2 linked regions of the Stegostoma tigrinum genome follow. The protein of the gene in region 1 purifies or fractionates together with the protein of each later gene. This does not show direct contact. Links are inferred from orthologs where the notes say so. Each region holds a gene or a part of one and is shown in the gene's direction. Other genes may lie near its edges. The genes, in order: ercc3 and ccnh.

Region 1 (12,461 bases):
TGCCTTTCATGTTAGTCCGTGCTGTTGGTCAAAGTGTGCAGGCTACTGCTCCAAACTGGAACCCTGACAGGGTCAAGGAGAGTCCACGGTATTTAGCACTTTGCAGAGCATTAATAAAACTATTTATTTCACATTTCTGTGCCTTTGATCTCAGTTAAGTCATTTATACCTGAGCTTTTATCTGTTGATGGCACCAACCTCCCATTCTGGTTGACAGCAAAAGGGTACAGCAGGAGGCCTCAGCATTGTGAGCCTTCAACTTGATCTCTACCTGAACCTCATCGATCCACCTTTGTTCCCTCAGCCTTAATACCCGTGTCTGACTGAAAATACAGTTGTGAAGTTTGCTGATGAAACAAAGACAAATAAGGATGTGAAAAGAATGTGAGCAAATTACAAAGGGATATCAAGATGTTAAGTGAGTGAGCAAAATGTGACAAGCAGAGTATAATGTGGGACAATGTTAAATTGGCCATTTTGGCAGACAGAACAAAAAGCATGCTATCTAAATAGTGAGAGATTGTAGAGGAATCTAGGAATCGGAGTATATAAATTGCCAAAAGTGAGAAGTCAGAAGACTGCAGGCAACTATGCAGGTACTAGTAATTAGGTAATAAAATGTTGGTTTGGTGAGAGAGGAATCAAATACCAAAATAGGGAAGTTATGCTTCTGTTGTTTTTGGCACTGGTGAGACTACATTGAGAAAGCCATGTGTGGTATTGGCCTGAGATAATGGGAACTGCAGATGCTGAAGAATCCGAGATAACAAAGCGTGAAGCTGGATGAACACAGCAGGTCATCTCAGGAGATGCTGCTTGGCCTGCTGTGTTCATCCAGCTTCACACTTTGTTATGTGGTATTGGCCTCCTCATTTAAGAAAAGATCTAAGTGCACTGGAAGCAATTAAAGAAAAGGTTTATCAGACTAATACTTAGAATGGTTGGTTGTCTTGTGAGGACAGTCCTGGGCAGGCTAGTCCTGTATTTACCAGTGTTTAGAAGAGTAAGAAGTGACTTGAGTGAAACACAAGATTCTGATGTGTTTTAACAGAAGTGATGTGGAAACGATGCTGGGGAGAAATCAGAGCTGGGGGTCACAAAAATAAGGGTTTGCCCATTTAAAACCGAGATGAAGCAAATTTATTTCTCTAAGGGAAATTTTGAATTCTCTTCCTTAAAAGGTGATGGAAGCAGAATCTTTGTAAGACGAAGGTGGATATATTATTAATAAGTGGATAGTTGGGAATGTAGAATAACCAGATGGGTCATGATGCTATTAAATAGGGAGCAGGATCAGTTGGCCACATCCTGCTACTAATTAATATATTTGTATTTACCCTCAAGCAGATCCCTCCTTAATGAAAACCGAATATTGGAATTCCATGTAAATTTCAAGAATCGTGCCTGCAGTACCCACTTTCACTTTCTGAAGTGTAGATTCGTTGCCTGTCTGTTGGGCTTTTGGAATCCCTGTCAAGTTTGCTACAGCAACTTTGCCAAACTAAAATAAAAAAATGTGTCCAGGCTGCAACACACAACGAATGTTCTTCTCAAATTGTGTTTCCTGTTTGCTTGGCCATTTAACACAATACTGGAACCTTGGGCTAGATAGGATAGAACAGAATAGTCTTTATTGTCATGCATTCCAGTACAGGGGTACAGTGAAAAGTTTCTACAACGGCTGCTTTTAAAGGCACAATCTTAGGTATCAGTACCTAGCTATAAATCTTATTGTGTAAAAATAAAGTGTTGTTACAGAGTAAAGAAAAGAATATAGATTAGTTTGAAACAGTGAAAAATTCCAGAGTGATAAGTTCCAGTCCGCTCCTGCAGGTCCCAGAGCACTAGGCTACGCTGCTTCCGCGGGCCGCTCTCAGTCAAGGGCTCACTCTACCACAACTCCTGGGAATCACCTGTTCGCTCTGCGGGATTCGGCATAAGACATTGGAGTGGAAGTAAGGCCATTCGGCTCATCGAGTCATGTGCTTGTTCCGTTACGGGGCACGGCCTGCTCGCTCTGGTCTGCTGCGGGACATGGCTTACTCGCTCCACTCCTCGACTCCACTCTTTCTGCTTAATGCCCAAAACTCATTTTAGAACATAGAAAAGTACAGCACATTACAGGCCCTTCGGCCCACGATGTTGTGCCGTGGAATAATCCTAATCCAAAAATAAAATAACCTAACCTAAATTCTCAATTCACTGCTGTCCATGTGCATGTCCAGCAGTCGCTTAAATGTCACTAATGACTCCGCTTCCACGACTACCACTGGTAAACTATTCCATGCGCTCACAACTCTCTGGGTGAAGAACCTCCCTCTGACATCTCCTCTATACCTTCCTCCTAACACCTTAAAACTACGACCCCTCGTGGCAGTCGATCGTGCCCTGGGGAAATGTAGTTTCTGTTTCCTCAACTTTCTGCTTAAATATAGTCGTTGGGCAATATTTTTAAGAACACGTACGTTTATAAATTTGCTTTAAAGAGCATTTCCTAATCCATTTGGGTACAGTTTCATTACTACTGCTGAACTTGGGCTTGTCAATTCATAATCTTGGATTTTAAATGACCAATGTAACAAAGTACAGTTCTATTTGTTAGTCACATTGATTAACTTCTTAGTAAATGAAAATTATATTCAAAAGCCTTTAATATCTACCTACTTATGTCCTTGTGCTCAAATCTGGAAGAATGTTCTGCTGCCCCAGGCTGCCTGGGTTTGGTCTCCTGGAATCCTGTGATGAGCCTCAAGGGGAAGAACTGCCCTTTTCATGACCATCCCATCTACTAACACCTCCAGGTTTGTGCAGGTGAAGCAGGGAGTAAACTTTAGTTTGAAACGTGGGAATAACAACAGTTCAGCATGGTAAGTGGGGAGCAATAATAACGCTAGGCCAATTAGTCCAAGAAAGGCAATGGCCTAGTGATATTATCGCTAGACTAATAACCTGGAGTAAGATAACAAAGTGTGAAGCTGGATGAACACAGCAGGCCAAGCAGCATCTCAGGAGCACAAAAGCTGACGTTCGGCCCTAGAGAGCACCAGGTACTGTTCTGGGTACTCACATTCAAATTGCGCCATGGAGGATGGAATAAAAAATAGTCTAATGATAATCAGGAAACCATTGCCAGTTGTCAGGAAAAACCCATCAGGTTCACCAATGTCCTAATACACTAGCTGAGGTTAATCAATGTCTTAGGCAAGTGCAGTATAACCATGAATAAAAGCACTGGACAACAGATAACATAGAACATAGAACATAGAACAGTACAGCACAGAACAGGCCCTTCAGCCCACAATGTTGTGCCGACCATTGATCCTCATGGATGCACCCTCAAATTTCTGTGACCATATGCATGTCCAGCAGTCTCTTAAATGACCCCAATGACCTTGCTTCCACAACTGCTGCTGGCAACGCATTCCATGCTCTCACAACTCTCTGCGTAAAGAACCTGCCTCTTACATCCCCTCTATACTTTCCACCAACCAGCTTAAAACTATGACCCCTCGTGCTAGCCATTTCTGCCCTGGGAAATAGTCTCTGGCTATCGACTCTATCTATGCCTCTCATTATCTTGTATACCTCAATTAGGTCCCCTCTCCTCCTCCTTTTCTCCAATGAAAAGAGACCGAGCTCAGTCAACCTCTCTTCATAAGATAAGCCCTCCAGTCCAGGCAGCATCCTGGTAAACCTCCTCTGAACCCTCTCCAAAGCATCCACATCTTTCCTATAATAGGGCGCCCAGAACTGGATGCAGTATTCCAAGTGCGGTCTAACCAAAGTTTTATAGAGCTGCAACAAGATCTCACGACTCTTAAACTCAATCCCCCTGTTAATGAAAGCCAAAACACCATATGCTTTCTTAACAACCCTGTCCACTTGGGTGGCCATTTTAAGGGATCTATGTATCTGCACACCAAGATCCCTCTGTTCCTCCACGCTGCCAAGAATCCTATCCTTAATCCTGTACTCAGCTTTCAAATTCGACCTTCCAAAATGCATCACCTCGCATTTATCCAGGTTGAACTCCATCTGCCACCTCTCAGCCCATCTCTGCATCCTGTCAATGTCCCGCTGCAGCCTACAACAGCCCTCTACACTGTCAACGACACCTCCGACCTTTGTGTCGTCTGCAAACTTGCTGACCCATCCTTCAATTCCCTCGTCCAAGTCATTAATAAAAATTACAAACAGTAGAGGCCCAAGGACAGAGCCCTGTGGAACCCCACTCACCACTGACTTCCAGGCAGAATATTTTCCTTCTACTACCACTCGCTGTCTTCTGTTGGCCAGCCAATTCTGTATCCAAGCAGCTAAGTTCCCCTGTATCCCATTCCTCCTGACCTTCTGAATGAGCCTTCCATGGGGAACCTTATCAAATGCCTTACTGAAGTCCATATACACCACATCCACAGCTTGACCCTCATCAACCTTACTAGTCACATCCTCAAAAAACTCGATAAGGTTTGTAAGGCATGACCTACCCCTCACAAAGCCGTGTTGACTGTATTTGATCAAGCCATGCTCTTCCAGATGGTCATAAATCTTATCCCTCAGAATCCTTTCTAACACCTTGCAGACGACAGACGTGAGACTTACCGGTCTATAATTGCCGGGGATTTCCCTATTTCCTTTCTTGAAGAGAGGAATTACATTTGCCTCTCTCCAGTCCTCAGGTACGACTCCAGTGGAGAGCGAGGATGCAAAGATCTTCGCAAGTGGCGAAGCAATTGCATTTCTCGCTTCCCAAAGCAGCCGAGGACAAATCTGATCCGGGCCTGGCGACTTGTCAATCTTAATGTTTGACAAAATTTTCAGTACATCAGCTTCCTCTATCTCTATCCATTCCAGCATGCACACCTGCTCTTCAAAGGTTTCATTCACTACACAGGTCGTTTCTTTCGTAAAGACAGAAGCAAAAAACTCATTTAGGGCTTCCCCTACCTCCTCAGGCTCCACACACAAGTTCCCTATGCTATCCCTGATCGGCCCTACTCTTTCTTTGACCATTCTCTTATTCCTCACGTAAGTGTAAAATGCCTTTGTGTTTTCCCGGATTCCTTCTGCCAAGCCTTTCTCGTGCCCCCTCCTGGCTCTCCTCAGACCATTTTTGAGCTCCTTCCTTGCCTGCATGTAATCCTCTCTAGCTGAACTTGACCCTAGCTTCCTCCACCTTATGTAAGCTACCTTCTTCCTTTTCACTAGAAGCTCCACCGCTCTCGTCATCCAAGGTTCCTTTATCTTACCCCGTCTTGCCTGTCTCAGAGGGACATATTTACTCATCACTCCCAACAACTGTTCCTTAAACCATCTCCACATGTCTATAGTTCCCTTACCATGGAACAACTGCTCCCAGTCCATGCTTCCTAACTCGTGTCTAATCGCATCATAGTTTCCTCTTCCCCAATTAAATATCCTCCCATTCTGCCTAATCCTCTCCTTCTCCATAGCTATGTAGAATGAGAGTGTGTTATGGTCACTATCACCAAAATGCTCTCCCACCACAAGATCTGATACCTGCCCCGGCTCGTTTCCGAGCACCAAGTCTAGAATGGCCTCTCCCCTCGTCGGCCTGTCAACGTACTGAGTTAGGAAACCCTCCTGAACACACCTTACAAAAACAGCTCCATTCAAATCTTCTGCTCGAAGGAGGTTCCAATCAATATTAGGAAAGTTAAAGTCACCCATTACAACAACCCTACTGCGTCCTCACTTTTCCAAAATCTGTCGACCTATGCTTTCTACAATCTCCCTGCTGCTATTGGGGGGCCTGTAGTAAACCCCTAACGAGGTGACTACTCCCTTGCTGTTCCTAATTTCCACCCATACTGACTCAGTAGGCAGATCTTCCTCGACAATGGAAGCTTCTGACTGATGTTGGAGAAATTCAGAAGTTTTAAAAATAAAACATTTTCCAACAGTTTCCAATTAAGAAGTCATACCAGATGTGAAACAATAACTGTTTCTCTCTTCGCATGTCCTGCCAGCCCTACTGAGTTACTCCAGCATTTTGTGCTTTTTCTACATTATCTCCTTGCTGAAATGAAGGATTTATGAAGGGTCAAATAGATGTTATGACATCCTAAAAAAGATGCAAGACTTTTATTTGTAATAGTTGAGTTGGTATGTGATATCAGCTTCACATAGAAGCCAATCAGCAACATTACCTGTACTGTACCTGCCTATCCAGTGCGTGCAGTTGTATGTTCTATTAGTGCCTTATTTCACATTTACAATTCTGATGTGTTAAAAAAGACTTTTGGTTCTACAATATCTTTTCATGACCACACCTCTACCCAACGCACTTTACAGCCAGAGGGCAGCCACGATGGTAATAGAGCAGACCTGATTGTCAATGTGCCACTTGGTAGGTTGCTGCAAAACGTCAATATGGGAATGATGAGGCTGTCCGTTTTTTTGTGCGAACTGTCGAGCAAGTATTGCCCATGACTACCAGGATTCTGTCTCCCTGCTAAGATAACAAGGTGTGGAGCTGGAATGAAGACAGCAGGCCGAGCAGGAAAGCTGATGCTTCGGGCCAAGACCCTGCTGTGTTCCTCCAGCTCTACACCTTGTTATCTCAGATTCTCCAGGATCTGCAGTTCCTTCTCTCTCTGCACCACAGATCACTTGGTATCACTGAGCTGGAGGAATCATGTGACTGATGGTTGGGTGGAGAGGATTTTCGCTTTGCGCACGCGCGCCGGTACCGGCACACCAGCGCCGGGTCCAAACATGCGCACTGGGCTCGGCCGTATCTGCGCATGCTTCTAGACACCGGGGAACGATGGGCAAGAAGGAGAGAGGTAAGGCCCGCGGTTACACAACACCCCCCCCACCCATCCCCATCCCCGCCCCCCCCATCCAGACCCACCCCATCCCCATCCCCGCCCCCCCCATCCAGACCCACCCCATCCCCATCCCCGCCCCCCCCATCCAGACCCACCCCATCCCCCCCATCCAGACCCACCCCATCCCCATCCCCGCCCCCCCCATCCAGACCCACCCCATCCCCATCCCCGCCCCCCCCATCCAGACCCACCCCATCCCCATCCCCGCCCCCCCCATCCAGACCCACCCCATCCCCATCCCCGCCCCCCCCCCCACCCATCCCCATCCCCCCCCACCCATCCCCATCCCCACCCCCCCACCGCACACCCCCCCCCACCCCCCCACCGCACACCCCCCCCCACCCCCCCACCGCACACCCCCCACCGCACACCCCCCCCACCGCACACCCCCCCCACCGCACACCCCCCCCACCGCACACCCCCCCACCCCTCCACCGCACACCCCCCCACCCCTCCACCGCACACCCCCTCCACCCCCCCACCGCACGCGCACCCCCCCCACACAACACCCTGTTGTGCTAGCTGATATTTATCCCTCAGCCAACATTGCAAAAACAGATTGTCTAGCTGTTGTACTTTTGCTGTTTATAGGTTATGTTTCCTTCATTGCAACAGTAACGTCATTTCAAAAAGTCCTTAATTGACTGTAGAGTATTCTGACATTTCAATGGTTGTGATAAATGCCGTATAAGTGCGCATCTATCTTTGTTTTATGTGTGTGAACAGTACCAGATTTGATATTGATATCCTCTGTTCTCTTTTACTGAACCAGTCGAGTTCCAGATTGTTGTGAGGCTGGTTGTGTTTGGTAATTGGCAGTTTCTACGCGGTATCCTGTGCACGATCCAAAGATGTGCAGGTTAGGTGGATTGGCCATGCTAAATTGCCCGTAGTGTTCGGGGTGTGAGGGTTATAGGGGGATGGGTCTGGGTGGGATGCTTCGAGGTGCGGTGTAGACTTGTTGGGCCGAAGGGCCTGTTTCCACGCTGTAGGGAATCTAATCTAATCCTTCACAGCTGTCCCATCAAAATAGGTTAACTTTAACTGAAGGACTGTTTCATGACCACAGGATGCCCTAATATCCAGTTGTGATGGCGTCACTAGTACAGTGTCAGGGAATACTGTATTATCTCACTCACAGCAAGTTTGCTCAAGCTGCGGAGAGAAATTCTGGATCACCTGGAGTATTGTGTTCAGTTCTGGGTGCCTTATTTAAGGAAGGATGTTACAACCCAATAGAGAATTAAATGAAGTTTACTAGAATGATACCAGCAATGTGGGATTTTAGCTAGAATGAGAAATTAGGCTTATTCTTCTTGGAGTAGAGAAGATTTAAGAGGTGACTGTATGGAGGGGTTCAAAATTATGAACAGTTTTGTCAAGTTGAAAAAGTATATGGTTGATTCTTAAATGCCTGCTGGCTAATTGGGGAATGGCAATTTATGCTGGCCTGGCTAAGAACACCCTCATTCTGTGATTAATAAAACATATTTTGTTTCAACTTATTGGTACGCCAGTAACCAGGGGGTCACAATTTCAAACTTGTCAACCAGAAAGTTGGGAGTTAGATGATGAGAAACTTCTTTACTCAGTTGTTTAGGATTTGGAATACACTGCTTGGGAGAGGCAGATTCCTTAGGAGGTTTCAAACAGTCTTCTGTACTGTAAAATCATGGGGTGTGGGCATTACTGGCTGGCCAGCAGTTAATTGCCCATCAGTAGTTGCCCCTTGAGATGCAAATGTGAGGTTTTGCACTTTGGAAAAAAGAATACAGGCATGGACTATTTTCTAAACGGTGAGAAAATTCGTAAAGCAGAAGTACAAAGGGATCTGGGAGTGTTGGTCCAAGATTCTCTAAAAGTTAACTTGCAGGTAGAGTCCATGATTAAGAAAACGAATGTAATGTGATGTTATGTTGTTGTTTATCTCAAGAGGGTTGGAATATAAAAGCAGTGATGTGCATCTGCGACTTTATAAAGCTCTAGTTCGGCCCCATTTAGAATACTGTGTCCAATTTTGGGCCCCACACGTCAGGAAGGACATACTGGCCCTGGAGCGTGTCCAGCGGAGATTCGCACGGATGATCCCTGGAATGGTACGTTTAACGTACGATGAACGGCTAAGGATCCTGGGATTGTATTCATTAGAGTTTAGAAGGTTGAGGCGAGTTCTAATAGAAACTTACAAGATAATGTATGGCTTAGACAGGGTAGATGCTGGGAAGTTGTTTCCATTAGGCGGGGAGACTAGGACCCGTGGGCACAGCCTTAAAATTAGAGGGGGTAAATTTAAAACTGAAATGAGGAGACATTGCTTCAGCCAGAGAGTGGTGGGCTTGTGAAATTCATTGCCATGGAGTGCAGTAGAAGCCGAGACGTTAGATGCCTTCAAGGCAGAGATCGACAAATTCTTGATCTCAGAAGGAATCAAGGGCTACGGGCAGAGTGCAGGGAAGTGGAGTTGAAATGCCCATCAGCCATGATTTAAATGGCGGAGTGGACTTGATGGGCCGAATCACCTTACTTCCACTCCTATGTCTTATGGTCTTATGGAGAGGTGCCCCAGATGGTGAGTTGCCCTCTTGAACAACTGGGGCAGCACGGTGGCTCGGTGGTTAGCACTGCAGCCTCACAACACCGGGGACTCTGGTTCAATTCCAGCCTCTGGTGACTGTCTGTGTGGAGTTTGCACATTCTCCCCGTGCCTGCGTGGGTTTCCTCCGGGTGCTCCGGTTTTTCCCACAGTCCAAAGATATGCAGGTTAGGTGGATTGGCCATGCTAAATTGCCCGTAGCGTTTAGAGGGATGGGTCTGGGTGGGATGCTTCAGGGGACTTTGTGGACTTGTTGGGCTGAAGGGCCTGTTTCCACACTGTAGGGAATCTAAACAAAAACCTGCATTCCATGTGCTGTAGTTAGACCCACAATGCCATTAGGGACGGAGTTCCAGGATTCTGACCCAGGAACAGCAATATGTTTCCAAGTCAGGGTGGTGAATGGCTCGGAGGGGAACTTCGAGGGGGTGGTGTTCCCATGTATCTGCCGTCCTTGTCCTTCTAGATGGAAGTGGTGGTGTGTTTGGAAGGTGCTGTCTGAGGATCTTTGGTGAATTTCTGCAGTGCATCTTGTAGATGGTACACACTGCTGCGACTGAGCGTCGGTGGTGGAGGGAGTGGATGCTTGTGGATGTGGTGCCAATCAAGCAGGCAGTTTTCTTTCTTACTGAAGTCATTTTATAAGCAATTTGAGAGTCTGTTGACAAAATTGGCACTTGGTGCCTGCTTCCACTTTTGGAAACAGCTTCTGTATTGGGTTATCAAACTGAAATCTTCACTGTTCTGTTTGCTGTCTGGATGTTGGCCGTTGCTGGCTGATTGCCTTGTCCTGCCCCTAGTTTAGCCTCTGGAGGTGAATCGGTGAATCGATCATGTGCCTGAGCTGCTTTGTGGTGGTTTGCTTAAACTGCGTGATGGCCTCCAACATTTCTGGGCCAAGTCAGTGTCAGTCAGCTGTGGTGGTGGTGGGAAGAGAATTGCAGTTGGACATAAATTGGAATGGGTAGTATTACAAGTTTCTTTCCAGTAAACCTGATGCGTTTCTGCAAAATCGACATTTTAAGTTGTCAGACTCATCTGGGGGAATTTGAATTTATAGTCTTTGAGTTAATCATTCTGATTACTTGCTCTGTAACTTATTGTGACACTTGCATATGGGCACCCTGATCTCTCTGTTTCACAGTGTTCTCTCGTCTCTCCTCATTCAATTAATAATCTGTTTTTCTGTTATTCCTGCTAAAGCAGACAACCTCAACTTCCTCGACAAAAACAAAGTTGCTGCAAAAGCTCAGGAGGTCTGGCAGCATCTGTGAGGAAAAAATCAGTGTTAACACTTCGGGTCTGGTGACCCTTCCCCTAACCCTAACCCTGACCTGCTGAGCTTTTGCAGCAACTTTGTTTTTGTTCTTGATTTACAGCACCCGCAGCTGTTTTGGTTTTTAACCTCAGTTTCCTACCTTACATCCCAACTGAAATGTTTTTCCACATCACTGTCTCTTGACTGACCTTTTTGTAAATGCCTTTCAACTTACTTTCCTACCTTTACTCATTTTCCTTTAAAAACACTTTAATCACCTTTAAATTTTCCATCAGACAAGAAAAAATTCAAGAAGCGTCGTTATGATAATGAGGAAGAGGATGAGGATGAGCTTTCCATGGATACCGAATCTCAGGAGGCTGTCCCTTCTGCGGCTGGGAAACAGGTGGAGCAGACTGTGGTTAAGGAAGATGAGTATGGGGCCAAGGATTACAGGACACTGATGACCCTAAAAGAGGATCACACCTCCAGACCACTTTGGGTGGTAAGTCAGCCACAGTGGTTTGTATCAGGATTGACTAACTGACAGGACGCAGTGTTGCGTTGAAAGCGTCATTTTTGAATTGACAAACTACAGCTAGTGGAATAGAACATAGAATAGTATACTATATGAACTGAGATAATGGGAACTGCAGATGCTGGAGAATCCGAGATAACAAAATGTGAGGCTGGATCAACACAGCAGGCCAAGCAGCATCTTAGAAACACAAAAGCTGATGTTTCGGACCTAGACCCTTCATCAGAAAAGTATATGAACAGGCTGTTTTGCCCACCATGTCTGCCCTGAACATCACGTCATTATAAATGAATTCTGTCTGCCTGCTTGTGGTCCATATCCCTCTGTTCACGTGTCTAACTAAATGCCTGTTAAACATTGCTATCAAATCCGCATCTATCACCTTCCCTGGAATGTAGCATCGGTCAATCTGGGATCCAACCACTTTGTGTCTTTAATAATGATTGGCACGCCAGCCTATTATCCTTGGTAATGACTTGCACAAGTGGACGCATTGTAACCTAATTTGCTGCTGACACAAAGATAAGTAGGAAAGCACTTTTGTCTTGTATTAATGCATGATATGTTGTTGTCACAGACTAGGCCTTCACTTACTCCTTTCCCCAGTTGCCCTTGAGAAGTTGCTGCCTTGAGCCTCTACGGTCCATTTGGTGTAGGAACAACCACAGTGCCCATAAGTAGGGAGCTCCAGGATTTTGACCTAAATCCGATGAAGCAATGGCGATACATTTCCAAGTTAGGATGTTGTATTGTGAAGAGGTTACAGAGACTCTGCAAGGAATATGAGTAATTTCAGCAAGTAAACAAACACTTGGCAGATCGAGTAGAATGTGGGAAAATGTTAACTTTGGCCAGATGAATAGCAAGCGTTATATTATTTAAATGGAGGGAGATTGTAGAACCTGCTGGTGCAGGAGGATCTGGGTGTCCTGGTACAAGAATCGCATAACGTTTGTATGTCGGTACAGAAAGTGATAAGGAAGGCGAATGAAATGTTATTTATTGCCAGGAGAATGGAACATAAACGTAGGAAAGGTTTACTGTATCTGTGCATGGTGTCGGTAAGAATGCGCTTTTGATTTATTCATGTAATATGGGCATTGCTGAGTAGATCAGCATTTATATGGCAAGATTACCGTGTGAAGTTCTAGTTTCCTCATCTAAGGGATATGGTTGCATTGGAGGCACTTCAGATAAAGTTCACTTGCCTACGTTTAT
Region 2 (12,685 bases), on another chromosome or scaffold:
GCAGGAGCAGGTTCTGCATGGTTTTCTGGAGTTTGGACAGTTTCCTCTACCTCTCTCTGACCTTATAGAACACAGAACAGAGAACATTACAGCACAGTACAGGCCCTTCGGCCTTCAATGTTGTGCCAACCTGTCATACCAATCTCAAGCCCATCTAACCTACACTATTCCATGTACGTCCATATGCTTGTCCAATGACAACTTAAATGTACTTAAAGTTGGAGAATCTACTACCGTTGCAGGCAAAGTATTCCATTCCCTTACTACTCTCTGAGTAAAGAAACTATCTCTGACATCTGTCCCATATCTTTCACCCCTCAATTTAAAGATATGTCCCCTCGTGCTCGCCATCACCATCCTAGGAAAAAGGCTCTCACTATCCACCCTATCTAACACTCTGATTATTCTATATGTCTCAATTAAGTCGGCTTTCAACATTCCTCTCTCTAATGAAAACAGCCTCAAGTCCCTTAGCCTTTCCTCATAAGACCTTCCCTCCATACCAGGCAACATCCTAGTAAATCTCCTCTGTACCCTTTCCAAAGTTTCCACATCCTTCTTATAATGCGGTGACCAGAACTGTACGCAATACTCCAAGCGCGGCCGCACCAGAGTTTTGTACAGCTGCAGCATAGCCTCATGGTTCCGGAACTCGATCCCTCTATTAATAAAAGCTAAAACACTGTATGCCTTCTTAACAGCCCGGTCAACCCGGGTGGCAACTTTCAAGGATCTGTGTACATGGACACCGAGATCTCTCTGCTCATCTACGCTACCAAGAATCTTACCATTAGCCCAGTACTTTGCATTCCGGTTACTCCTACCGAAGTGCATCACCTCACGCTTGTCCGCATTAAACTCCATTTGCCACCTCTCAGCCCAGCTCTGCAGCTTATCTATGTCTCTCTGTAACCTACAACATCCTTCTTCACTATCCACAATTCCATCGACCTTAGTGGTGTCTGCAAATTTACTAACCCATCCTTCTACGCCCTCATCCAGGTCATTGATAAAAATGACGAACAGCAGTGGACCCAACACCGACCCTTGCGGTAATCCACTAGTAACTGGTCTCCAGGATGAACATTTCCCATCAACCACCACCCTCTGTCTTCTTTCAGCAAGCCAATTTCTGATCCAAACTGCTATATCTCCTACAATCCCATTCCTCCGTATTTTGTACAATAGCCTACTGTGGGGAACCTTATCGAACGCCTTGCCGAAATCCATATACACCACATCAACAAGTTTACTCTCATCTACCTGTTTGGTCACCTTCTCAAAGAACTCTAAGGTTTGTGAGGCACGACCTTCACTTCACAAAACCGTGCTGATTATCCCAAATAAATTTATTCTTTTCTAGATGATTATAAATCCTATCCCTTATAACCTTTTCCAACACTTTACCAACAACTGAAGTAAGGGTCACTGGTCTATAATTACCAGGGTTGACTCTACTCCCCTTCTTGAGCAGAGGAACCACATTTGCTGTCCTCCAGTCGTCTGGCACTATTCCTGTAGACAATGACGAGTTAAAGATCAATGCCAAAGGCTCGGCAATCTCCTCCCTGGCTTCCCAGAGGATCCTAGGATAAATCCTATCTGGCCCAGGGGACTTATCTATCTTTACACTCTATAGGATTTCTAATACCTCTTCCTTGTGAACCTCAATTCCACCTAGTCTAGTAGCCTGTATCTCAGTATTCTCCTCGACAACATTGTCGTTTTCTAGAGTGAATACTGTTGAAAAATATTCATTTAGTGCTTCCCCTATCCCCTCTGACTCCACACACAGCTTCCCACTACTATCCTTGATTGGCCCTAATTTTACTTTCGTCATTCTTTTATTCCTTAAATACCTATAGAAAGCCTTAGGGTTTACCCTGATCCTATCAGCCAGCAACTTCTCATGTCTTCTCCTGGCTCTTCTGAGCTCTCTCTTTCGGTCTTTCCTGGCTAACTCGTAACCCTCAAGCGCCCTAACTGAGCCTTCACATCTCATCCTAACATAAGCTTCTTCTTCCTCTTGACCAGAGATTCCACTCCCTCCGTAAACCACGGCTCCCGTGCTCTACAGCTTCCTTCCTGCCTGACAGGTACATACTCATCTCGGACACACAGAGCTTTTCCTTGAATAAGCTCCACATTTCTAATGTGCCCATCCCCTGCAGTTTCCTTCCCCATCCTATGCTCCCTAAATCTTGCCTAATCTCATTGTAATTGCCTTTCCCCCAGCTATAACTCTTGCCCAGTGGTATACACCTATCCCTTTCCATCACTAAAGTAAACATAACAGAATTGTGATCGCTATCACCAAAGTGCTCACCTACTTCCAAATCTAACACCTGGCCGGGCTCATTACCCAGTACCAAAGCTAATGTGGCTTCGCCCCTTGTTGGCCTGTCTATATACTGTGTCAGGAAGCCCTCCTGCACACACTGGGCAAAAACTGACCCAAATATAGCACTCGAACTATAGTGTTCCCAGTCAATATTTGGAAAGTTGAAGTCCCCCATGACAACTACCCTGTCTCTCTCACTCCTATCGAGAATCATCTTTGCTATCCTTTCCTGTGCATATCTGGGACTATTCGGAGGCCTATAGAAAACTCCCAACAGGGTGATCTCTTCTTTTCTGTTTCCAACCTTGCCCGTGCTACCTCAGTTGACGAGTCCCCAAACATCTTTTCTGCAACTGTAATACCGTCCTTGACCAACAATGCCACACCTCCCCCTCTTTAACCGTCTTCTCTGCTCTTACTGAAACATCTAAATCCCGGAACCTGCAACAACCATTCCTGTCCCTGCTCTATCCATGTCTCCGAAATGGCCTTCAGAACACCTTTGAGGATAAAGAACGTCTTGATGTTCCCCTTGACTGTTTCCCCCCCCAGTCCAGTGTAGAGTTAGACAGGGGCTTCACGGTTCTCCAACCTGTAACCCCTTTTGAGCTCCTCAATATTTTCTGGAGTTAACAGTTTTCACATTCAGCTTCCACATTTTCTTGCCGGCCTGTGGGCATCCTATAGGTGGCAGTCAGCCAGCAGGAAGCAGTGGTCAGAGAAGAGTATTGGCTTGACATCAGTGGATCTGAATGAGAAGGTGTAAGATGCAAACACGAAATTGATCCTTGAATAGACAGATCCGTCTAGTGGCCACCAGGTATATCTATGTTACAATCCATCTGCAGGGGGGCTGAAGAAGTCTTTCAGTTTGGCAACTTTAACTGTTTCCATAAGGAATCTGGAAGACCATTACGTTTTGGGCAAACTAATTTTTTTTTCTTTCAAAAATATACTGTATTCATAAAAAAATTCTCTCATATGTATACGCTGTCACAAAAGCAATTTGGTTCTGTATAGCTGCACATCAGTAAATAAACAAACCTAACCAAAAAACCAAAGACCTTTCTTCCACATACAGTACTAATATTTACCTATATTTGAGGCACTAGGAGGGTCCAATAACTGGAAGGACACTCATTTACTTTTAGCTGGAAGACTTCAGCAGTGGTCCTTCCCCACTGTGCTTTGATGGCAGCTGCCCCAAACTTTAGTGTGTCCCTCAGCATGCAGTCCCAGACTTTGAAATGTGCCAGTCTGCAACACCGAGTTGAGGTTGGCTCCTTGTTCTGAATGACTAACAAGTCTTGAGCAAATCAAAGAGCGTCTTTCACTGAATTGATGGTACTCCAGCTCCAGCTAATGTTTGTCTCGGTGTGTGTCCTGGTGAACAGACCGTACAGGGCACAGTCCCGTGTCACGGAGCTGCTTAAGACAAACCTTGACACAAACCATGCATCTTCCTCCAGACTTCTTTGGCAGAGGCATATTCCAGAAGGAGATGTGTCACAGTCTCAACCTCAATACCCCTCACCAGCAGCCCCCCATCACCACCACCCTCCATCTTCAAACCTCCGAACCAGCCACTTCAAGAGCAGCGGGCAGTAGTGCAGACATAAAGGATCTCCCAGGTACTTCCCTTATCAGCAAAAGCCAAGCAACGTCTTGGTGCTTTTCCGAAGTTCGGGTGATGAGGCATTCTGCCAAATGACTTTGACAATTTTCTTAGGGAACCATGCAACAGGATCCACCCTCTTCTTTTCTCTCAGGGTACACTTCCTGATGGACTGCTAGTCAAAGGTGCTTTGCAAATTTCTCGATGAAGGAGAAGTGATAGGGGATGTGGCAGCAAGGCCAGTCCCATCCCTTGAAACACTGAGGGACAGGTAAAACCTCAGTATGCAGTGGCACTTGGTGTTGTGTACTAAGGGTCTATGCACAGCTTCATGTAGCCAAACACAAAGGTTTAATGTTCTTGTTAAGATTTGTAGCTTGGCTTGTGGATGAGGTTGTTGGCTTGCTCGCTTTGCTGGCTGGTTATTTAGCTTCATCCATCTAGTAGGCACCTGTGGATGAAATTATTGAGATATCCGTTGTTCATTAATTTGATCCTGGTGAAAATGTTTTTGATAAGATGGTGCGTTTCTTCTAACTTGGTTTAATGATGATGCATCATCCATGTATCAGATCCACAGTTCTGGCTGTATGAGGGGCAGGTTTGTGCACTCCAGTCTTTGCATGACTGCCCCTGCAATAAGTCCCGAGTCCTAGGGTCAAATTTACAAAAGAAGATGAAGACAACAATCAACTTCCATTCCAAGATGTCAGGGTAGAACGAATGACCAATGGGGAGTTCACAGTACACAGGAAGGCAACCCATATTGACCAAATCCTCAATTTCCACAGCAATCACCCAACGTCCACAAACAAAGCTGTGTTAGGACATTATTCCAATGAGCCGCAATACACTGCAACATGCCAGAACTACGTAGAAAGGAGGAAGAGCACCTATACAAGGTATCTGTTAATAACAGACATCCCAACAATTTCATCCGCAGGTGCCGTCTAGATAGGCAACACCAACAGGACACATCACACTATCCTATATCATGAACATATCAGAACTGACGAGACTCCTATGACCACTAGGAATCATGGCAGGACACAAATCCACAGCTACACTACAACAAACACCCACAAGGACCAAAGAACCCATACCCATGACGTGTAAGACCAACATAGTTTACAAAAATACCTTCCAATGACTGCAACAAACATTACAATAGCCAGACTGGAAGGAAACTAGCCATCAGGATACATGAACACCAGGTGGCAGAAAAACAACATGACAAACTTTCCCTCATCACAGTGCACTCAGACAATGTGGCCATCAATTTAACTGGAACAATGGGACCATCCTGGCTCAAGCCAACAACAGATATGCACTGGTTTTCAACCCATAATGCAATCAACAAACATGTGGAATTAGACCTCATGTACAAACCCATGCAAAAAAGAACAGGAAATGGCACAACACAACTCGACAGAGCAGATCATATAAATTCCAAGTGGAGTAGAACAGTTTTGCTTCATTGGATGCCGCACTGATGTTACCCAGCATGGTGATGAAAGGTCTGTATGATAAAACACAAAGGTGGCCATCAGGAGGGCAACAGTGGGAACGTTCTCTGCCACCACCATCCAGAGTTTTATACATGGAGTTCCTGCAGGCCCAGTCTATCTTAGGCTTCCAGATGAAATAGAAGATGACTCAGGTGATTGAAACATCAGTGACGGGAGGCAGGCCAGACCTGTGTCGTTTACAGCATCAGAGACAGAGTGCTTCACACCTGATAACCAGGTTTATCCCCGCAACGGACAAGGAACAGTGCTTCCAGAAGACCAATTTCTGCTTCACTTTGGCGATGCACTCCTCTCAGATTTTGTGCATGCCCTAGGCCCTCTGAGCCATATTCCCAGCACTTTCAGGTAATCTGTCGTGACGGTGACGGGAATGAAGGATCGGTTGGCCCAATTCCCAAAGAACATGGCCTCGCTGTTGCCCCGATTTTTACCTTGGCTCCCGAGCCCATTTCTACCAGGGCAAAGGGCGGGAACGCTGTGGTCAACCCCTTCAAAGGCTGCAAACCGTTCATGTTTTCCATAGTCACACAGCTCGGTAGCTATGACTGGAAAGTACATTACACCGTACTCTCCGACTTAACCTCTGCTCTTCCTTCCCCAACCCAAGCGGCTGACAGCTAGGTTCCCACGTTCCAAACCGTCGCAGGCTGACTGTTCTCACGCGAGATCACGGCCCTCAACCCGACTCGTTTCCCATTGGACCAACGCTTCGCGAAACGTCACTAGGAGGTGGGGTTAGTGCTGAACAGCGGAAACGAAAGCAGTCTCGAGCCAGGTGAGTCTGAACGTTAGAGGTTGTCTGTGTTGGTGCAGCGTGATCTCTACCCTGGGGTTTGAATGTGTGAGCAGCTCCGTTAGTCCCGTTGAAGCTCCCGACTCCTCCTGCTGTTGTAAGAGAGATAATGGGAAAGCGTGTGGGGGTGGTTCGGCTTGATTTACAGTCGGCACCTGACTTCTGCAGACCGATTCAAACTCTTCGTGCTTTTCTCATGCTTTGTGGTCTGCGCTTCCTGCAGTCCGTTCATATTTAATATTCCCTCATCCCCAGTTTAAAGGTGAGGTTTCAAGTCGCACTGCTGGTCTTGTACTCGTGAATCCAGTCTGGCCGTTATAATAGAGGGCCAGTTGAAAATGTTTTTTGGATAAGATCGTCAGTTGAGATTAAATCTGCCTTTTCTGATGGATGTAAAAGGTCCCTTATCACTTTCTTGGAACAAGACAGGAGACCGGATATTGGTGCATTGACTAGTCTTTGTGGTGTAGTTATCTTCGGAACCTAGTCACCGTCACCAAAATAAATTGGCCTCCATCACTGTTTGTGGAAGATTGCTGTATGAAAGTCTACTGATGTTTTTTTCTCTCAAGATTACAGCAATACTTTGAAAAAACAGAAATTGCTGATGAAAGCTCAGCAAATCTGGGAGTATCTGCGAGAAGAAAGCAAGAGTTAATGTTTGAGTCTAATGACAGCATGGTCAAACTGGTGTCTAATGAAAAGTCACTAGATTTGCAACATCAACTCTGCTTTTTTTCCACAAATGCTGCCAGACCTGCTGAGTTTTGTGACAATTTTCTATTTATGATTAAGATTTCTAGCATCCACAGTTCTTTGTTTTACTTCAGGAGCTCTTATTTGGCTGTGAAGTGCTGAGGGTCCATTAGACAAAGAGTTTCAGAAGGACAAACACAAGTTCCCACATTTTATTCATGAGTTTATTTAGACTTTAGTGGTGGGCCTGATAAAGTAGACATAAGTGATATGTTGATAACATTGTGGAGCTGGAAGAACACAGCAGGCCAGGCAGCATCTGAGGAGCAGTAAAGTTGACATTTTGGGTCTGGACCCTTCTTCAGAAATGGGGAGGGGGAAGGGAGCTCAGTAATAGAGGAGGGGTGGAGGTGGGGAATGTGGGTGGGATGGTGATTTTTTTTTTTGAGTGCAAGTAGGGAGTAGTGGGAATTGGTCAGCTAGGTGGGGGGGATGGCTAGGTGGGAGAGAAGATGGACAGGTTGGGTCAGGTCAAGGAGGTGGGGATGAGAGGGTGGCTTGGACATGGGATGAGGTTGGGGTTAGGGAGATTTTAAAACTAGTGAATTCCGTAGCGCTGTAGGCTCCCAAGGTGGAATATATGTTTTACTCCTCTAGTTTTCATGTAGTACCATTGTATCACAATGGAGGAGGCCCAGATGGACATCCCACCAAGGACCTTAACATCTGCTCTTCTCCCCCCCCCCCCCCCAAGTGATTGTAAATGCCCTCAACCACATCTCTTGCATTTCCTGCACCTCTGCCCTCACATTCCCTCCCCCCAGCAAAAATAAAGACACAATCCCCCTTGTCCTCTCATATCACCCCACCAATCTCTGCATCCAACATATTTTCTGCCACCTATAGCCCAACCCCACAACCAAAGAGATATTTCCCTCCAGAACAATATCTGCCTTTTGTAGGGATGGCTGTCTCCATGACTCACTCATCCGCTCTACAGTCTGTACTTACCCTACTAACCTGGAACCTTTGCCTAGAACTGCAGGAAGTGCTACACCTGCCCCTCCACCTTTCCCCCCCCCCCCCAACCCCCATGTAAGGCACCTGGCAAACCTTTCATATCAGACAGCGATCACTTGCACATCTGTCAACTTGGTCTACTGTATCCGCAGTTCCCAATGTGGCCTCCTCTGCATTGCTGAGACCAAGTGTAGACTTGGAGACTGTGTTTTGTAGAGAGCCTGCTCTCTGCATGGGACAAACAACAACATCTTCTAGTTGTCAACCATTTTAGCTTCCCCCTCCCACTCGCTGGGTGACACATCCATCCTGGGCCTCCTCCAGTGCCACAATGATACCACACAAACTGGAGGAGCAACACCTTATATTCCATCTTGGGAGCCTACAGCCCAGTGGCCTAAACATAGAATTCACCAGTTTTAAAATCTCCCCATCCCTGGCCTCATCCCTGCCACCTTGACCTGACACAACCTGTCCCTCTTCTCTCCCACCTATCCGCCCCACTGAACAATCCTGACGATTTCCTACCTGCACCCACCTATCGCCATCCCACCTACCTTTCCCAGGACTACCCCTTCTCTGTATTTATTTCTGAACACTCTTCCCCCTCCCCCTTTCTGAAGAAGGGTCCCGATCCAAAATGTCAACTTATCTGCACCTCTGATGCTACCTGGCTTGCTGTGTTCTTCCAGTTCCATACTGTGTTACCTCTGACTCCAGCATCTGCATTTCTTTCTATCTATAAATGATATGTTGTAACTTTTTATTTTAACTGCCTGTCAGATTGTAACCCCATGTAAAGTCTGACATTAAATGAATGAGCACTTCTCGTGATCGTCTTTTAAGATGCCCCTTAAAATTTATTTATTTGGTCAAGTCTGTGGCCATATGTCAGGACACTGCATCATCTAGCTTGGTCTCAAATTTTGTGATGCTCCTGTGAATTGCCTTAGGATGTTTTATTACATAAAATGTACCGTATAAATGCAATTTGTATTTATGGATGTGAGTTTGCTCGCTGAGTTGGAAGGTTAGTTTTCAGATGTTTCGTCACCATTCTAGGTAACATCATCAGTGAGCTTTCGATGAAGCGCTAGTGTTAGGTCCCGCTTTCTATTTATAAATAAATACAATAGAAAGCAGGACCTAACACCAGCGCTTCATCGGAGGCTCACTGATGATGTTACCTAGAATGGTGATGAAACGTCTGAAAACTAACCTTCCAGCTCAGCAAGCAAACTGACATCCAGAACCTCAACCTGAGCTACAAATCTTCTCAAAACTCGCTAATTTGTATTTATAGTTGTAAATAATGGATTTACTCTGGTAATTCTGCACTCTTAAATTGGTCTACAACTATTTGCCTGGACATTATTCCAGTGGGCAAAAATAGGTCATCTGGAAATTATTTTTGTACGTTAATTTTAAATTACTGCTTGATCTTTCAAAACTTTTTATAAAATGGGCATCAGCAAAGTTTTTGGAAGTGACTTTTTTGTTATATGGGATATTGTAGGCCAAATTTTTTCAAAGTAATTTTAAGATAAATATATCTTTATGCTGCTGTTTGAGATTAGTGCAATGAGACCTTCGTTATGTTCATCTGAAAGTAAATGTGTATGGTTATCTCATCCAACATTGTACCTCAGTTGTGCAGTATGCCCCAGTACTGTAGTAAAACAGCTGAGATTTGGAGGTGATCTTAGCACCATAAACCACAAGAAATAGGAACAAGAGTAGTCTGTTAGAATTCTCCAGCCTGCTCTGCCATTCAGTATGAATTTGGAAAAAAAAATTTATGAAGCGTCCCTCCCAGCTGTAAAATGATCGAAGTATAGAATAGTCAAGCAAGAAAACTGTGAAAAAGTTTGCATTTTAACATCATCAAGGAAACACCCAAATACTACCAGAAAAGTTTTAAAGATGTCTTTGCTGACTACAGGGCTGCTGTCTCATTAGAGAAAGATCACTGCTGGTGGTTTAACCTGAGGATCACCATGCCTCCAGTGAGGGGCAGGCCAAGAAGGAAAGTCTTCATGATAACCCCAGCCAGTATGGCATCACTCTGCATTGCAAAACAGCTAACTAAGCTAACCACCCCACCATTTCAACCCAAACCCGCTTTCAACCCCATTCAGGTACTGACTTCCAGACAACCTCTGTGTAAAAGTATTTCTCTTTAATTCCTTTCAAGTTTGCCAATTACTTTAAATCCCTGCCTTCTGGTTAACAATCAGTGTGTAAAGGAAATGTATCCTTCCTATCTACTCTTCCTAGATCCCTCACAATTGTATACATGGTATCAATGTTTCAAAGTTTTAAAAAAAAGCCCAGCCTAATCAATCTTTCTTTTAGCCTAGCATTTTCAGACTTGGCAGCATTTTTTAAAATTCATTCAGGGGATTGCAGCTTTATTGGTTGAGCCAACATTTATTGTCATTTCCTAATCATCCTTAAGAAGATGGTAGTGGGCTACTTTCTTGAAATGTTACAGCACCTGTACAGGAACAGCTGTGTATTTCCAAGTTAGGATGGTGAGTGCCTTGGAGGGGAACTTGTAGGTAGTGGTGTTTTCATTGTACCTGCTGCACTTGTCCTTTGAGATGGTAATCGTAGTGGGTTTGGAAGATGATATCTAAGGAGTCTTGGGGAATTTCTACATGGAAACTTGTAGGTGGTGTGTTAATGATGTGAATGTTAATTGAATTGGTGTTAATCAAATGGGCTGCTTTTTTATGGATAATACCAAACTTCTTGATTATTGCTGGAGGTAATATTATCCAGGTAAATGGGGAGTGTTCTATCATTCTGTTTTGAACTTTGTAGATGGAGGACTTTGAAGTCAAAAGTTGAGTCACTTGTTGCACAATCTGTAACCTTTGACCTGCTCTTGCAGCCTTGGTATGTATATACAGCTGGATCAATTTAGTTTATGGTCAACGGCAACTTCCACAATAGTGAAGATTCGGTGAGGTAATGCCACTAGATGTTAAGGGGTAATTATTAGACTGTGTTATTGAAGATGGTCATTACTTGATATTTGTGTGGCACAAATGTTACTTTCCATTTTCAACCCAAGCCTGGATGTGGCCCAGGTCTTCCTGTATTTTGACATAGACTGCTTCAGTATCTGAGGAGTTGCAAATGTTGCTGAACATGGTGCGGTCATCAGCAAATAACCCCACTTCTGACTTAATGGTGGAGGAAAGGTGACTGATAAAGCAACTAGAGACCGTTGGGCTTAGAACATAAGTTTGAGGAAATCCTGCATTGGATGTCCTGGAGCTGAGATGAGTGATATCCAACAATGACAACTGTCTTCATTTGTGCTAGGTATGACTCCAATCAGGAGAATTTCCTCTGATTCATTGACTCTCTTGTTCAGGCTATTTGATGCCACACTGTCACATGTGGTCTTCATGTCAATTCTCACGTTCCCTTCTTACATTCGGCTCTTTTGTTATGTTTGAGTCAAGCCTGTAATTACACGTGCATTTAGTGGCCTTGACAGAATCTAAATTGGGTGTCAGTAAACAGGTTATTGTTCAGCAAGTGCAGCTTGATAGCACTGTTGATGACCTCTGCCAAGATTTTACTCATGTTCGAGATTGGACTGATGGGGTGGTAATTGACTGGGTTGGATTTGTCCTGGTTTTTGTGTACAGTTTGATGGGCAGTTATCCAAATTGCTAGTAAATGCCAGTGTTCTAAGTATATTGGAACCGCTTGGCTATGGGAGTGCCAGGTTTTGAAACATAAGTCTTGGGTACTGTTGCTGGCATGTTGTCAGGGCTCATGACCTTTGCAGTATCTAGTACATTCACCCATTTGGTGATCTTACGGAGAGTCAGTTGAGTTGATTGAAGACTGGCATCTGCATTGCTTGACTTTCCGGGGAGTTAAGATGGATCATCTACTCAATACCTCTTACTGAAGATTGTTCCAAATGCCTGAGCCTTGTCTTTTGCTACTCCATTATTGAAGATGGAGATATTTGTAGAGCCACCTCCTCCTCAAATGAGTTTTTTTGGTCCACCACCACCACCACTACCATTCACCACAACATCCTTGTCAGTCTCATCTGTACACACTAGTGTGTTCTCATTGTTCTTGCATTATACAATTGTCTATCAGAGATGCAAGTGACATGCTGTAGACTGTGTGAAAACCATTACATTTTTCAACAACCCGACATTATTTTGTTTTATATTTGACAACAGGAGTGAATGCTAAATGATGTTCAAAGATGTTTAACAACAGTACACAGAAGAAATGTTGGCTTTTTCAGAATGAAGAAATATTAGAAAATATGAGAACTGAAGCCAATAAGAAATATCAGACAAAGATTCTGGCATGTGGAAAGGTAAAATATATTTTTGAGATATTTTCAGAAATAATCGTTTGTAGATTTGAGTTATCATGACATCAGGCAATGCAGAAATGTGCAAAAGAGCTCAGACACCACCTTCCAAAGCACAACCATTGCATGACAAGGGCTGCAGGTACATGTGGACGCCACTAGCTGCACTTGGAAATATGTTGCCGTTCTTTCACAGTTACTGGGTCAAATTCCTGGAATTCCCTCCCTGCCAGCATTGTGGATCTACCTAAAGCCCCATGGACTGCAGCAGTCCCAGAAGGCGACTCACCACCATCTTCTCCAGGGTATTTAGGAATGGGCAATAAATGCT

The links.
Region 2: the proteins of ercc3 (region 1) and ccnh purify together in Homo sapiens (affinity purification with mass spectrometry; 9 studies listed by BioGRID and IntAct, counting the BioPlex papers as one, with this or other methods). This does not show direct contact. The link is inferred for Stegostoma tigrinum from reciprocal best matches to the Homo sapiens genes ERCC3 and CCNH.

The regions. Positions count from the first base shown.
Region 1 is NC_081360.1:103,814,034-103,826,494, reverse strand, and holds the start of ercc3 (general transcription and DNA repair factor IIH helicase subunit XPB), read left to right. Parts: upstream 1-6,689; 5' UTR 6,690-6,790; coding exon 6,791-6,809; intron 6,810-11,001; coding exon 11,002-11,210; intron 11,211-12,461. UniProt on the Homo sapiens protein: ATP-dependent 3'-5' DNA helicase/translocase. Binds dsDNA rather than ssDNA, unzipping it in a translocase rather than classical helicase activity. Component of the general transcription and DNA repair factor IIH (TFIIH) core complex.
Region 2 is NC_081356.1:95,562,043-95,574,727, forward strand, and holds the start of ccnh (cyclin-H), read left to right. Parts: upstream 1-6,210; 5' UTR 6,211-6,260; intron 6,261-6,393; exon of another isoform or gene 6,394-6,540; intron 6,541-12,214; 5' UTR 12,215-12,240; coding exon 12,241-12,357; intron 12,358-12,685. UniProt on the Homo sapiens protein: Regulates CDK7, the catalytic subunit of the CDK-activating kinase (CAK) enzymatic complex. CAK activates the cyclin-associated kinases CDK1, CDK2, CDK4 and CDK6 by threonine phosphorylation.